2 linked regions of the Cricetulus griseus genome follow. The protein of the gene in region 2 purifies or fractionates together with the protein of the main gene of each other region. This does not show direct contact. Links are inferred from orthologs where the notes say so. Each region holds a gene or a part of one and is shown on either strand. Other genes may lie near its edges. The genes, in order: Rit1 and Lztr1.

Region 1 (4,598 bases), on a different chromosome or scaffold from region 2:
AAGCAGACAGGCATTGCGGTGCTGGAGCAGTCACTGAAAGCTCCTAATCCTTCCCAAACAGTTGCACTAACAGGGGACCATGCATTCAAACACCAGCCTATGGGGGCGTTCTTATTTAACCACTAGCACAGGGTCTCGGCAAATTCTGAGACTGGCCATGAACCTCCTCCCTCAACTTCTCTAGTAGCTTGGAGGATAGTTGTTTGTTGTCACATCCAGTTCTTGAAAAGTTGCAGCAGAGTGTGAGGGTGGCACATATCCCAGAGCTCAGGTGCTGAAGGCTGGGGGCTTTTGCGTTTGAGGCCAACCTATGTTGTAATTTTTTAAAAGCAGCTTAAGAGAGAAAGAGCATGCAACAGAGTTCAAGCGGAGTTTTGTTTTTAATTAGGAGAAAAGGATCTTAAGGGGAGGAGCAGCAGAAGAGAAGAAAAAGATGCAGATAGAGAAAGGAATAGGGAGAGAAAGAAAGGGTGGTGAGCAGGGCCCTTTTAAAAGGGAATATAGTGAATAGGCACAGGTGGTCTTAGTGGCAGCAGCTGAGGCATATCCTGTCAGAACTCCAAAGGCAGGCCAGTCCAGATGCCTAAATACTAGCAGCCTGGGCTACATGAGACTGAGTGAGACCCTCAAAACAAGATATAGTAATTGCACTTGGAGCAGGATTGCTATGGTTTTTGAGGTCAGCCTAGGCTGTAAAGTAGGACTTAATGATCCCTTCTGCTCCCTCCTGATTGCCCCTTAACACTGTTATACCAAGAGACTGACTGGTCAGGAACCAGGAACTGGATGCCAGCTTAATCTGTGCACCCTACATCCTGTTGGAACAGAAAAGGGAAGTGGAGTTTGCTGTGATGTGCAATGTGAATGAAAACAATGCCCACTTATTGCTGGGTTCTCATAAATTTATGACCTGGAATTCCTAAGAGACTTGCTTTTATTTATTTATTTTGGTTTTTCAAGACAAGGTTTCTCCGTGTAGCCCTGGCTGTTTTGGAGCTGAATTTGTAGCCCAGATTGACCTTGAACTCACAGAGATTCACCTGCTTCTGCCTCTGGAATGCTGAGATTAAAGGTGTAATCCACCACACCTGACTGCTTTTTGAAGAACTAATGTGTACATTTTACCTGCATGTATGTATGCGCACTGCCTGGTGCCTTCAGGAGCACAGAAGAGGTTGGTGGATCTGTGAAACATGTTATGGATGGCTGTGAGCCACCGAGTGAATGCTAGACACTGAGTCCAGATCCTTACAAAAGCCACAAGTGCTTTCACTACTGATAATCTCTCCAGAGATCGGTTTTTAGGACAGGGACGCTGCAGCCCAGGTAATGTGGAACTGATCTTCAACTGCTTGCTGCCAACACCTCTCATGCTGGATTTATAGGCATGTGCCATCATATCTGGCTCGTATCTGTTTTAATATTTTTAAAATACAGAACTTCAACTAGATTAACTGGTGCTAAGAACATCTGGTCTTGGTTCCAAGAGCCTTAGATGTGACAGCGTTTTATGGTAAAAGGCACCGCTAGTACTTACAATAAATGAAATCCTGTATTTTGGTAAGCTTGAGGGGATGTGGTTATGTTTTGCTGTGCACCGGGTAACAGATTTTTTCTTCCCCCACCAGTAGCAAATAGCCCTAAGTTACTCACTTTAAAGGTTTCTGTTTCGTTTAGTGGAACATCCATTTATGTACGTGCAAGCCTTGAGACATAGTACGTGACCAGAGGGCTTTGCGAGTCAGAACTAGGCGTGGGGTGGAGCAAAGTGAGTGTCGGCTGTGGGGCGGGGCTCCAGGGTCCCTCCCCTTCCACCGGCGCCATCTTCCTGGACCCGGGCGGGGCACTGGGCTGTGCGGCGCCGCTCGGGAAGGAACGCGGTCTGCAACCCGGATTCGACCGGCTTTAGAGGTACAGGCACAGGTGGGCAGGGACGGGGAGCGGGGCAGCGCGGGACGAGGGGAGGCGGCAGCCGGGCGAAGACCTGGAGGTGCCAGGCAACCCCCAGGACTCATCCGGCTCCTTTCTAGTGGAACACTGCCTTAGTCTGAAGAGAAGTCCAAGTTGTTTGTATTTTCCTGGAGAAAGTAAGTTTGGAAATCTGTGCTGTGTTTTAGGACCGAGACTAGCGGGGGAGGGAGAAGACGTGGGTTTCTTGGTGTTCCTCAAGGAGCAGGGTAGGCCGCGGTGTTTGGGAAGGCGGGGGCTCGTCGTCAGTGGCCGACTGTCTCCATCCTGGATTGAATGTTTCGTGCCTTCTCTAGGAGGCCTTTCCCAGGGGCCCACGACTGCTCCAGAGGACAATGGATTCTGGAGCTCGCCCAGTTGGTAGCAGCTGTAGCAGCCCTGCAGCGCTATCAAGAGAATACAAACTAGTGATGCTGGGTGCTGGTGGCGTTGGGAAGAGTGGTAGGTAACCTTTTCCATTTGACAGAAAAGTTTGAAAAGCACCTAAGGGACCAGTAACCCAGACCAAATGGGTTACTGGCTCTTGTGCAGAGTTGCAAGGTAAAATACTTTATGGTCACTGTCATGAGTTCCATTTCTTGTTTTGAAGCCATGACAATGCAGTTCATCAGCCACCGATTCCCAGAAGACCATGACCCCACCATTGGTAAGTCAGATCCTCATTTATATTTCCAGGTACATCTGTGAAAGTATCTTAATAGATTTAAAGTTTAAAAAAAAAGTATATATCTTGAGCTTTTTTGTATATGTAATTCATACTTATTTAGAAACAAACAAACAAAAAAAAACAGTTGACTATTTTTTTTCCCTAGACTTCATATGTACATAAGCCATCTTGAGCCTTCGAGTTAGGTTGAGCATTAATAGACAAACGGCCTTTTTTTTTTTTAATGGTTGTATTCTGTATTGTTAGATTAAAGGAAAGTTTAAAGGCTACTCAATGAAACCTTTCTTGCTATCACTTCTAAGGGTCTGACATGAGAGTAACCCTATTAGTATGAGTCAGCTGGTTTGAACTTCCACAAAAGGAAGCAGAAAAACAAGTAGAGCCAGCCTACTGACCTCTTAGAACCGAACTTCCACTTGAAGCTCTTCATTTATTTCCTTATCCCGGCAGCTCATTCTATAGCAACATCTTGTGTGGCTCTGTAATCTTTGGCTGTCAGATGCTGGTAGAGTGCCATTAGACTAAATCAGTCCTTTTTTTTTTTTTTACACTGGGGATTGACCTGAGACTTCAACCCAACCATACTAGGCAAGGGCTTTACCACTGAGCTTGATTTACCCAAGATTACCCAAGATTTGTTTTGTGTTGTTTTCTTTTGGTAAAACGTTGAGCCTAAGCTAGCCTGAACACATAGCACTCCTTTTGCCTTAGTCTAGGACTTCAGACATGAGCTACCCATGCCCAGTTCTATAGTGTGGGCTGTATTGTTGTTGTTAGTTGCTATCTTGTGTTGACTAAAAATGTTCCTCACTCCTAAATCACAAGGAAGCAGTTTTTGGCTTTGTTTTTTGTTGTTGTTGTCGTTGTTTTTGTTTTTTTGAAGCAGGGTTTCTCTGTCGTGGTTGTTCTGGAACTGGCTCTGTAGACCAGGCTGACCTCAAACACAGAGATCCACCTACCTCTGCTACAATTAAAGGCATGTGCCACCACCCAGCAGCAGTTTTGATCCTGAATGATTATATAAAAGAAAAGTAGGGCTGCAGAGGGCTCTGCCATTAGCTGAGAGTGATGGCACACATCTGTAATCCCAGCACTTGGGAAGCAAAAGCAAGAGGAACATGAATTTTCATCAGCCTGGGTTACATAAAGAGTTACAGGCCGGCCAAGAATACTAGTGAGATCCTCTGTCAAAACAAAAACAAAAATCTGCCATTCTGTGGCTGTGATCATTTTGATTATCATATGCTTCTATAGGTTTGGGAAAAATGGAAAGGAACACTTGTCTTTTTAGTGAGTTGTATGGGGGTTATTTATTTTTTGTGCTAGGGATCAAGCCACGTACATGCTGTACCACTGAGTTGCACCCTAGCTCTGCTATATCAACTTGAGAACATTGTTTCAGAGATTCAGACTGTGGTGTGGGAACTCTGAATACAGTCAGTTCAGGAGTTAGGATCATTTACTTTGTTCTAAGCAGTAGCTCCAGGCCACCCACTGGTGGCCCCTAGTGCAGAGCCCAAATTCAGAGTTGTCTCAGCTCAAGTGATACTTCACTAGAGGGACATTGCTTGTGCTAGATGGCGAGGTGGGGTCAGTGTCTGCCCTCTGCCCTGCAAGAGGAGTGTTTGCCACCCCTGCCCTCCTGCACTGCAGGAGTGTGGGAAGACTGGCTGACAATCTGCCACACCCACCTAGTTATTCTGCCCTTGTTTATAGTGAGAACTAGCCACGCCTAGAGATTGGCTGGAAAATGTCACATGGTCACCTCAGTTGGACTGGAACTTAGACCCTGATCTCAGACTTCAAGGGTCTAGTGGCCCATATCCTAACATCACTCCTTGGTAGGAGGGTAGAAATGTCCTACACATCCTTTATTCTATTCTCCTTCCTACACAGGTTTTTAGAGCTATCAAAGTAGGCTGAATTCTCTTTGGTCATGTCCATGGTGCTCTCTTTTCTTGTT
Region 2 (3,808 bases):
ACACCCAGGTTATTTGTGTCTGGGGATCAAATGCTCGCTTTGTGCATGCTACATTACCAACTAAACTATATCCACTTGGAGTTTCTAGTTAATACTGGAGTTGGGCTGGCAGAAGGGTAAAGGAGACAAAGAGGTGGGCCTTGGTGAGGGGAAGAAGGCAGACTGTTATATGCCACCCTAGCACCTCTCACCCGTATACCAGCTTCCGTTATCCCTCACCTCTGGATGCTGCAACCCGGTCCCCAGTGCCCCTGACTTCCCACCTGCATCATGCTCCCTGCACCCCTCACCTCCTCCCAGCATGTGAGCTCTCGGTCCTGGAGGCCAATTGTCCACATGTCGTTCAACCTGCATCAGGATGGAGGAGTCAGGATCCTTTGGCCCTGAGCCTGGCTGGGAGGGAGAGCTCCAGGGAAGAACCACTTGCCACGTGTGTCAGGAGACAACTGTGCCATCTTTCTTATAAGAAACAGGAACTTCCGGGGAAGATCTACATCAAATCCCAGCACACAGCCTCTAACAGCTCTCACTTCCTGCTGGCTCTCTGACCAGCCAAAACAGAAGTAGATTTATACATAACATCTGGGGTTATGGGACAGAGCCAGATACGTGGGGCAGGGAAAAGACGATGTGTCCCATAAAGCCTGCTGCTCCACTGTGCCGATACTGGTTTCTGCACCGCTGCAGTTAAAATGAGCATGCACTGTTTGGTTACCAGACAAATACAATAAAACAACTTTCTTTTTTCTTTTTTTAAATACTTTTGGATATATTTATTTATTATGTATGCAGTGTTCTGTCCTATATGTATTCCTGCAGGCCAGAAGAGGGCACCAGATCTCATTACAGATGGTTGTGAGCCACCATGTGTTTGCTGGGAATTGAACACCTGGCCTCTGGAAGAACAGCCAGTGTTCTTAACCTCTGAGCCATCTCTCCAGGCCCAAAACAACTTTCTAAAACAAGGAGGAAGCCTGGTGTGGAGGCCCCCACCTTTAATCTCAGCATTCAGGAAGCAGAGGCAGGAGGAGCTCTGTGAGTTCCAGGCTAGCCAGATCTACACAGAGGGCTTCAGGACAGCCAGGGCTAGAGAGAGAACTTGTCTTTTTGTTGTTGTTGTTTTGAGGACAGGGTTTCTCTGTGTAGCTTTGGAGGCAATCCTGGCATTTGCTCTATAGGCCAGGCTGGCCTCGAACTCACATAGATCTGCCTGTCTCTGCCTCCTGAGTTCTGGGATGTGCCACTACCACCCAGCTGAGACCATGTCTTAAAACAAAAGCAAAATATAAAACAATAAATAAAGAGGAAACTGTAACACAGGGAGGAACACAGGGCTGGCTTTAAGCTGAGATGCTTCTGGCCTCCAGGCCCCTGTAGTTCCAAATCTCCTCATCTGAGGAAGTCCAGGGATCACAGACTTGGCTAGGAGGTCCGTCCATTCAGAAGCCTCACCTCCATACCCCTCTCCTGAGAGACTCAAAACCCAGCAGGGCAACTTACCCCAGCCTGAGCACTCAGGTGCCAAGAGAGCTTATTCTGCCCCTGAGGACATGCACAGGTAGGGTACATGGCCAGCTACTTGCCTACCTGGCATTGCCATCATAGCCAGCAAAGATCCAGAGCTTGTCACTGTACACTGTGGCCCCATGGGCTGATCTGGCAACTGGCAACCTAGAACATAAGGAAAAACATGAGGAGGGGCTGGAAAGAAGGCTCAGCACTGAAGAAAACTCACTTTTCTTCAAGAGGCCCAGGTTCAATTCCTAGCACTCACAACCACCCCCTGGAACTTCAATCCCACTTCTGGTCTCCTCAGGCACCAGACATGCATGTGTTACAGACATATATGTCAGGAAAATACACCCACACACACACACACACACACACACACACACACACACACACACACACACACACACACGAGGAAAGGTCATCGGAACATCCTGAAGCAAGGGCTCTGTGTATTCAGCAGCTAGGGCCACAACGGCCTGACACTGGAGCTCAGAGGGCAGTGCTGGGGCACTAGATGCAAACAATAGCACAAGAGGTCTGAACAGCAGATGTGTAAAATATTCAGATGATAAAACCAGGCATGATGGCATGTGTCTGTAAATCCTGGCACTAGGAGATGAAAGGAGGAAGGTCAGAACTTCAAGACCAGCCCGAGGTCAGTGGGACTGTGAGACCCTGATTCAAAACAAACAACGAAAAACACAAAGGCAAAACCAAAACCCCTCCTAAGGGGTGGGGATGTGGCTCAGTTTGTAGGTTGCTTTTCCAGCATACACGAAACCCTGGGTTTGAGTCCCAACACCACAAAACCAGGTATGGTGAGTACACTTGTAACCCTAGCACTCAGGGGCCAGAGACAGGAGGACCAGATGTTCAGGGCCTTCCTCAGCTACACAGCAGGTTCAGAGCCAGCCTAGCCTCATTAGAGCCTGTCGCAAAGAAGGAGAAAGTCAGATACAGACCTTGGAGTATAGCTCAATGACAGAGAGCTTGCCTAGTATGAGGCCCTGAGTTCCATCCCCAGTGCTGAGAAAAAATAAATAAAACAAAATACAACCAAAAGAAATTTTGAGGGGGCTGGAGAGATGGTTCAGAGATTAAGAGCAATGGCTGCTCTTCCAAAGGTCCTTAGTTCAATTCCCAGCAACCACATGGTGGCTCACAACCATCTGTAATGAGATCTGGTGCCCTCTTCTGGCACCAGATACATGCCAGCAGAAGACTGCATACATAATAAATAAAAATAAAAAGTCAGAGTCCTCTTTTAAATTAAAAAAAAAAAAAAAGGAATTCTGTGGTCCACATAGGCCCAGCACCTTCCCAGCTGCTCTTAAAATAGTGAAGGGTGTACTCACAGATCAGCCCACCCAGTTCCTGAGAAAGAAGGGGTGTACACCTGGGATTGGGCTGAGGCAATGCCTGAGCACAGCTCGCAGCTTCCAGCCTGCTGCAAATGTCCTGTCTAGCCCTGCCACATGGGACTCAGCAGTGATGAAAACTAAGCAGCTAAAGTCTCCCAGCCACAGGCTCCCCATCTGAAAAGTGGCAGGAAGCACATCCCAGGCTTAAGTCCACTCTCTTCTTGTGAAAGTTCTCTGCAAAACCACTTACCGCCCTTCAACTTTCCACTCTGTCCACTGGCCAGTTGCAAACTTGTATTCAAAGAGGTCATTTTTATTCTTCAAGTTAGAATTGGAATAAATATCTCCAGTATAGCCCCCTGGGTGAAGAGAATGAAAGCAAAGTGTTACATCTGGGGTACTATTTGGTATTTAAGTGTGGGGGTCCTAGTTAACATGTACAAACCTCTAGCAACAACCCCTAGCCCACCCAAATTACCTCTGCACTGGGATGCAGGGACAGGCACATTGATGTTTCTTGCCCTAGCCATCAGAGGACACACCCAGTCCCATGAGCTAGGGACACTAGGAAAATCAGTTAGTGGGGTAAGAGAACCCTGACCCAACAGAGCTCAGAGAGCCTCATGGAGGGTGAGGGGGTGGGAGGGCAAGGCTGCTTACCAAAGACGAACATGCTGCTCCCGTAGACAACAGCTGAGTGGTGGTAACGGGGAGCTGGTGGGGTGCCAGTGGTAAAGGCTCTGGGAGAGGCACAGGGTGAAGTCAGTGAGGGGTCAGCCAGGCAATCCAAGCCCCATCGCCCTTGAGACCCCCAAAACTTTGTTTTCCTTTCCTCCCTCCCTCTCTTCTACCCTATCCTCCCTTCTCCTTTCCTTTTCAAGTTATGTTGTTGCTGTAAGTGGTCCAGGCTGGCAGGTAACTCACTATGCTATGGA

What was found.
Region 1: the proteins of Lztr1 (region 2) and Rit1 purify together in Homo sapiens (affinity purification with mass spectrometry; 3 studies listed by BioGRID and IntAct, counting the BioPlex papers as one, with this or other methods). This does not show direct contact. The link is inferred for Cricetulus griseus from reciprocal best matches to the Homo sapiens genes LZTR1 and RIT1.

The regions. Positions count from the first base shown.
Region 1 is NW_023276806.1:65,816,625-65,821,222, reverse strand, and holds the start of Rit1 (GTP-binding protein Rit1), read left to right. Parts: upstream 1-1,769; 5' UTR 1,770-1,911; intron 1,912-2,030; exon of another isoform or gene 2,031-2,087; intron 2,088-2,264; 5' UTR 2,265-2,303; coding exon 2,304-2,409; intron 2,410-2,557; coding exon 2,558-2,614; intron 2,615-4,598.
Region 2 is NC_048597.1:71,798,140-71,801,947, forward strand, and holds part of Lztr1 (leucine-zipper-like transcriptional regulator 1), read right to left. Parts: intron 3,614-3,808; coding exon 3,534-3,613; intron 3,233-3,533; coding exon 3,124-3,232; intron 1,672-3,123; coding exon 1,588-1,671; intron 349-1,587; coding exon 291-348; intron 1-290. UniProt on the Homo sapiens protein: Substrate-specific adapter of a BCR (BTB-CUL3-RBX1) E3 ubiquitin-protein ligase complex that mediates ubiquitination of Ras (K-Ras/KRAS, N-Ras/NRAS and H-Ras/HRAS).